2 linked regions of the Xenopus tropicalis genome follow. The protein of the gene in region 2 purifies or fractionates together with the protein of the main gene of each other region. This does not show direct contact. Links are inferred from orthologs where the notes say so. Each region holds a gene or a part of one and is shown on either strand. Other genes may lie near its edges.

What was found. Proteins that work in one complex are often made in the same cells at the same time.
Region 1: the proteins of ppp2ca (region 2) and cct8 purify together in Homo sapiens (affinity purification with mass spectrometry; 4 studies listed by BioGRID and IntAct, with this or other methods). This does not show direct contact. The link is inferred for Xenopus tropicalis from reciprocal best matches to the Homo sapiens genes PPP2CA and CCT8.

What each region holds. Positions count from the first base shown.
Region 1 is NC_030678.2:16,664,437-16,668,192, forward strand, and holds the start of cct8 (T-complex protein 1 subunit theta), read left to right. Parts: upstream 1-1,098; 5' UTR 1,099-1,233; coding exon 1,234-1,293; intron 1,294-3,656; coding exon 3,657-3,747; intron 3,748-3,756. UniProt on the Homo sapiens protein: Component of the chaperonin-containing T-complex (TRiC), a molecular chaperone complex that assists the folding of actin, tubulin and other proteins upon ATP hydrolysis.
Region 2 is NC_030679.2:26,547,439-26,551,094, forward strand, and holds part of ppp2ca (serine/threonine-protein phosphatase 2A catalytic subunit alpha isoform), read left to right. Parts: intron 1-1,603; coding exon 1,604-1,813; intron 1,814-3,190; coding exon 3,191-3,364; intron 3,365-3,656. UniProt on the Homo sapiens protein: Catalytic subunit of protein phosphatase 2A (PP2A), a serine/threonine phosphatase involved in the regulation of a wide variety of enzymes, signal transduction pathways, and cellular events.

The DNA.
Region 1 (3,756 bases), on a different chromosome or scaffold from region 2:
TAGATTGTAAGCTCTTTTGGGCAGGGCTCCCTTCACCTCTTGTATCGGTTATCAGGCCCGGATTTGTGGCGAGGCCACAAAGGCCTGGGCCTAGGGTGGCAGAAACTTAGGGGCGCCATGCCACCCCGCCGCACAAAAATTCTGACATTTTGCTCCCATACGGAGCGCTGGGGACTTCTCCCCAGCGCTCCTTATGGGAGTTTAAATGTCTGCGCATGCGCGCTTGCGTCTGGGGGGGGAGGTGGTTTTGTTCACGCATGCGCAGGGGGGAATAGGGATGGCCAAGGGGTGCCTGGATTTGGTGATTGCTTTATATGTTACTCTGTATGCCCAATGTATGTAACCCACTTATTGTACAGCGCTGCGGGATATGTTGGCGCTTTATAAATAAATGTTAATAATAATAATAGTCAATATTAACTGCCCCCGTGGCATTATCTGCAGCCGTCACATGACTGGATTTTGGCTGAAGCGTAAGGATCTGGTTTGGAGCTCCCTAATTTAGATTTTATTGCAGTGGATCATATCTTTTGCACTGCAGAGTATTGTGCAACTAGACTGCGCTAGCATGTAAAGCTAATGGCAGGGCACAGGTACAAGCCTGTCCCTTATGTTTCCCTATGAATAACATTGGCATGTAGTAGCAGTCCTGTGCCAGCCTGGGTCTGCCTAAGCTAATAACAGAAGCACCCATTATCCTCAGGGGCCGACTTGTGGAAGCGGCCCTAGCTGTGGGGGATGATGGGAGTTGTAGTTCACTTCAAGCCAGAGATTGAGGGTTCCTGCAACCACGATTTAGGGACGCCCACCCTGCTGTACGGCTATTGGAGCTATCTAGTACACAATACCACGGCCTAAAACGTCTAACCCTGCCCTCAGGGGGTCCCAGTAACTCTGTGGGCTCCAGACAGAAAGCAGCTCCTTATAAAGGAACACCACAGCTCACACGCCGGGCCTCTCATTGTGCTTCCCTGCCCTTACAGCCCGCCCCTATCCCAAAGCCCGCCCCCTAGCTGTCACTCACACAGGGCAGCCAGCCGCTCCGGATAACATCGATTCCCTCCGCGCCTGGCGCCTCAGAGAAGGGTTGATTCTATCGGCCAATCGTCTGAGAGCGCCTTTCCCGCAGGGAGTTGTGGGAAGCCGCTGCCCATTTCCCCCGTCTCTTTCTCTGAGTGCCGGTGATAGCGCGTTTGGTCGCTCCCACTCTCCGGCTCACCCACAGGTACCATCATGGCGCTGCACGTCCCCAAGGCCCCGGGCTTTGCCCAGATGCTGAAGGAAGGAGCCAAGGTAAGGCCGGGCGGGGGGGGAGGCCGGAGTGGCGGGGCATGGGCGGCACATGGAAGCTTCCAGAAGCCATGGGGATAGCGGGGCATGTGCTTGGGGCTGGGATCCCTCCGCTTTATCTCTGCTGCTCTTCAACTACAGCTCCCAGCATCCTCTAGGAGCCCGAGGCTGTAGGGGAATTGTTAAATTAAAGTTATTTAGCTTTAAAGGGCAAGTAACACTAAAAGAAATATTTTATTAATATAAATTTCAAATACTTATTTACATAATTATTTAGTATTCTCTTCCTAAAGGTGTGTAGAAACAGTTTAACCCTTGCTTGTCTCTACTAAACATATTGTATTCCAGTTAGCCTCTCTCTGACATTCCAGGGGCCCCATAGTGTTCCTGTAAGGGCCCAGGCCTGTGTTTCTGTCTCTTTGATTTATTTGTGGCCATTAAAGGCCAAGCTGTACCATTATTAGATTATTAGATTGCTGGCAGTGATACTTATGGTCTGTATCCGGGATATTCCCTATAGGGGAGCCGTTGGTGCCGTTCCTACAGTAAGTGGAGTAATAGGGGGAAATCCCATTAGAAATAATATATTATTTAGTGACTGGTGGCAAATAAAAAGTGCAGAATGCCACGCCCTGTGCGACAGCCATAGTGGGTCCCCTCTGTGCGGGGGGGGGGGGGTTATGAGCACTAGCATCAGTACCAGTTGAGGCTTCTGCTTTGTGCAAATTGGCTTTTATATGTATGTATATATACATATATATATATATATATATATATATATCTGATAGGGACCTTAGATTGTAAGCTCACTGGGGCAGGGGCTGATGGGAATGTGATAGGGACCTTAGATTGTAAGATCACTGGGGCAGGGACTGATGGGAATGTGATAGGGACCTTAGATTGTAAGCTCACTGGGGCAGGGACTGATGGGAATGTGATAGGGACCTTAGATTGTAAGCTCACTGGGGCAGGGGCTGATGGGAATGTGATAGGGACCTTAGACTGTAAGCTCACTGGGGCAGGGACTGATGGGAATGTGATAGGGACCTTAGACTGTAAGCTCACTGGGGCAGGGACTGATGGGAATGTGATAGGGACCTTAGATGGTAAGCTCACTGGGGCAGGGACTGATGGGAATGTGATAGGGGCCTTAGATGGTAAGCTCACTGGGGCAGGGACTGATGGGAATGTGATAGGGACCTTAGATTGTAAGCTCACTGGGGCAGGGACTGATGGGAATGTGATAGGGACCTTAGATTGTAAGCTCACTGGGGCAGGGGCTGATGGGAATGTGATAGGGACCTTAGATTGTAAGCTCACTGGGGCAGGGGCTGATGGGAATGTGATAGGGACCTTAGATTGTAAGCTCACTGGGACAGGGGCTGATGGGAATGTGATAGGGACCTTAGATTGTAAGCTCACTGGGGCAGGGACTGATGGGAATGTGATAGGGACCTTAGATTGTAAGCTCACTGGGACAGGGACTGATGGGAATGTGATAGGGACCTTAGATTGTAAGATCACTGGGGCAGGGACTGATTGGAAAGATATATATATATCTCTCTTTGGCTTGTAGACAGGCACTCATATCGCAGAAAGAGTAGCGATGCCTGGGTGCAGTCCCAACAGATTAAGGAATAGTAGCAAGTGAAGATGTCCCGCACTCACAGGTCTTAGATTAAAGAGCAAGGCAAGCAGATTAAAATCCTTTATTGTGCACTTATACAGACCCCAGACAGAGTAGGACGCTAAATCAAAACCAGCAAAATATGTACCGTTTGTTGTAAAATCGCTTTTATGCATCCTCACTCACTCTGCTGGTACGCGCCGCCATCTTTAATTCCCCCTGCTTCTGGCTTCACGACGAGTGTCAAAATGCGCATGCTCCAGCATCGCATCCACCCACTGACCCCGTGATTATGACCCGTGACCCTTCATGCTGTGTGCAGGAGCGCATACTGCGCATGCTTCGTTTCAGACACTGTCCAGGACAGCGATGCTTGGGAGGAGGCTGGGAGAGCAGTGCCATACAAAGAAGTGGAGGTACATGGTTGATTTTAAAGTAGATATTTCCTTACAGGGGACTTAAATTAGAACATTGCAGTGTTAGAATGCACAGGATGTAAACTAAGTTTTGCTAAGTTGTGCAATGGTAATCGACTTTACTTGCTCTTTAAATAAAAGGCGTGGATTGAATAAACTCCTTTTATTTAACCTAAGACCTGTGAGTGCGGGACATCTTCACTTTCTACTATATATATATATCTCTGTACAGCGCATTGGCATATGTTGGCGCTATATAAATAAATAAATATTTGTTGGTGGCTATACTAAGTGAGCTGCATGCTTTCTTATTTCTCTCGCAGCACTATTCTGGATTGGAAGAAGCAGTGTTCCGGAATATCCAGGCCTGTAAAGAGCTCGCTCAGACTACTCGCACAGCGTATGGGCCGAATGGTAAATTGT
Region 2 (3,656 bases):
GTCACCTCCAAGTTAACTGTTTATATATTTTATAATTTGTACAGTTTGCAGTTGGGTTTTGTTTTGAACTGTTTTGTAGCTTTCTAGTTTGGAACCAGACTGGAAGGGAAATATGAAAGAGATCACAATAGCAAACCTTTAATGCAAACAGCAGATGTAAAAGGAACAGTATAATCACTAAGGGGTGCTCCCAATGAGTATAATTGCCTACTTGATTGGTGCTCCTGTTCACTGAAATTTGCAAAGGCCCAGGGTTCATTATATCGCCATCTTCTTCTGTCTCCCAGGGGTACTTCTTTGCCAAATTTATAAAGCAGCAACGTATTCAACAGTGCTGTACAATAAATGGGTGTATGCATTAAACATACAAAGTAATATACAAAAGCAAACAAATAGGCAATGCAAGAAAGAGAGAGGGCCATGTTTAAAAGAGCTTATTTTCTAAAAAATACCCTTGTGTGGGATCAGTTTTGAAATAAAAATAAAAAATGAATAATAGAGGACCTAAAAAGAAAAACAAGCAATAACATTAAGACTGGACTGGCTAATAATTAATGAACACCAATATGAAGATGATCAGAATAAGTCAATCACTCACAATGTAATGCACAGTATAAGTTGGTTACAGAGAATGGCACTAGAGCCTTGCGTGACATTAGCCTAAAATGAGAATTCCACTTGCCTTAATATATACCAGGCAGCATATAAAGATATTAGGTAAATTACTTAGTCCCGTGTGACAAATTCCTAAATGTAAAAAATCCACTTTGGCTTTTGATAGTAAACTGGCATTCTAGTTGATACTTGATCCTTTGGGGTTCAGGTTGAATATCCATTAGCCTCAGTAATGAGATTTTGGGGTCATTAACTGAAACACTGGGCAATTTGCATCTGGGTAGTAGCCCATGGGAACCCATCAGTGCTAATCACTGCTTACAGTGGGTTACTGTTCAGTTGACAGTGCCCCCAGATATTTTCAAGTTCCCTACAGTATAGGACTAAAACTGTCCCTGCCTTAAAATTTCTGTGTTTAGCTCTTTGACCCTTTGTGGAGAAACCAACATTTTACAACTGATTTACATTAAATACCAACCAATTTTTAGAACTTTTTTTTTTCTCTTCCCCTTTAAACTTTGCAGGAAACTTATCAGTCTGCTATAATTTTTTCCACTTCTGTCACAAAATATGAGATATGGGAAAATCAAACATTGAATATATGAACACATAACTGTATACAGAAAGTCTTCTGAAAGGCTCCCATAGACTCCATTTTAATGAATTAAAAAACAGTACCTTACTGTAGGCGCAACAATCCTATTGGGTTTATTTAATGTTTAAATTATTTCTTGGTAGACTAAGCTATGCTGATCCAAATTACTGAAATATCCCTTGTCCAGAAAACCCCAGGTCCCAAGGATTCTGGATAACTGGTCCCATACCTCTACCAAAAGCACAAAACAAGTGGAGATTTCAAACCCAACTCTGTCTAAAGTAGTCGAATTGGCAGCTTAAATCTTCACATGTAAGGGCATATTAAGGTCTCGATTTAATATCACAAATGACTCGTTTACAGCAGTTAACAGCAAATGTGTTTATTTTACAGGCAAAAGAAATCTTAACAAAAGAATCAAATGTCCAGGAAGTTCGGTGCCCAGTCACAGTATGTGGAGATGTACACGGACAATTTCACGATCTTATGGAACTGTTCAGAATTGGAGGCAAATCACCAGATACAAATTATTTGTTTATGGGAGACTATGTTGACAGAGGATATTACTCTGTTGAAACTGTAACGCTGCTTGTTGCACTTAAGGTAAGATAATTCATTTATATTAATGGTGCTCCACTGGCAATCAATGAAACAATACAATATTATAAGGTATTCTTATAATAAAATGCCAAAATATGCCACAGTGCTGTACAATAAATGTGTATACATACATACAGATTACATACAAAAAACAACCAGTAATCTATGCAACAAGTTGATAGGGCAATGCTTAGTAGAGCTTGAGGATATGTGTTTTTTTTCTGTCCTGTATGTATATTAATGTTTTTTTTATACCTACTACACCAGATAAATCAGTTGACAGTAGCCATTCACGTACAGTAGAAAAGACGAAATATAGAGCGCTATCAGTGTATCAATAAAATAAAACTGTTCTAAAGAGTCCCCTAACAAGAACTTGTAGCAGAAAAAGCACAAGCAATAAAAAATGCTAATATAATATATATAGAAGGCCATCGTATGTTGAAGGGAAAAAAATGATACATATGAATACAATTCAAATATTATCCAAAAAGCTTTTAAAGTCTCCTAATGTATAAGCATGTTATTGTAACACCAATAAACATTAAAAAAAAGTGGGCAGCCTATATGATGTGCAGATAGATAAATGAAAAATATGTATTTCATTATGATGCTGTAGTGCTATAAATAATCCAGTCTGTTCTATTTAAAAAGCCATAAATATTTCTTCTAGTTGTTATTAAATATTCATTTGTACCGTAAAGCCAGAAGGCTCATTTGTAGAATGGAGGGGGTTTAGAAAAATATTTTTTTGTAGTTTTTTGCTGTCAAAAGCAGCATTTTTCTGCGACTTGCTGCACTGTTGTTTCTGTCTCTTAAAACAATGTACAGAAAGTAAACCTTGCATGCTGCTTCTGTTAATGAACTAGCTTTGCTACATTGTTTCAAAAGCCAAAACCAGCAGGGCAGAGAATAGTAAGATCGCTTTCTGTAACAATTACATTTACAACTTTTACACCATAGACATCTTGCATTTAATTTGTATTTTCAAAGTTTTTCGAATTACATTTTCTGTCTGTTGGTTTTCAATGGTACATTCTCTACTTAGAGAAGGGTTCTTAATGGGATCCTGCAGGGTTTAGTAATGGGTCCACTGTTAAATTTGTTCATTTAACAAATTTGTTCGTTAATGAATTTGAGGGAGGGCGCTGTACGCAATGTATGCATTATGCAAGTTAGTTTCATCCGGGATGTAGCATTATTTCAGGGGGATATGAACAACTGAATCTTATCTGCCACTTAGCTGGATAGATTGCCAATGTTGATATGAGGTTATGAATTTAGGGTTTATAAATAACTTGTACTGGGGGTACTTGTGTATAATAAATGATAGAAGTCTCTGTTTCCATTTTATTGCAAAAACCTATTCATACCTTTCAGGTTCGCTATCGGGAACGCATCACAATCCTCCGAGGAAATCATGAAAGTAGACAAATCACACAAGTATATGGATTTTATGATGAATGCTTAAGGAAATATGGAAATGCAAATGTCTGGAAGTATTTCACTGACCTTTTTGACTACCTCCCCCTGACTGCACTGGTAGATGGTCAGGTATGTGTATAATGTGTATATTAAGTAAACACTTTTATTGCAGAGCTCCACATTAAAAGAGGGTGACTTCCCAGTGTATGTATAAATGTGTCAATAAATAGGACTTGACATGAACATATTTTGTCTGTTGTGTGCAGTGCACACCAATGGCATTTGAAATAAGGATTCTCTTAAAGGAAAACAATACCCCCAAACAATGTAGGTCTCTCTAAAAATATATTGCATAAACCAGCTCATATAACCCTGCTTCATCTAAATAAACCTTTTTCATAAAAATATACTTTTTTAGTAG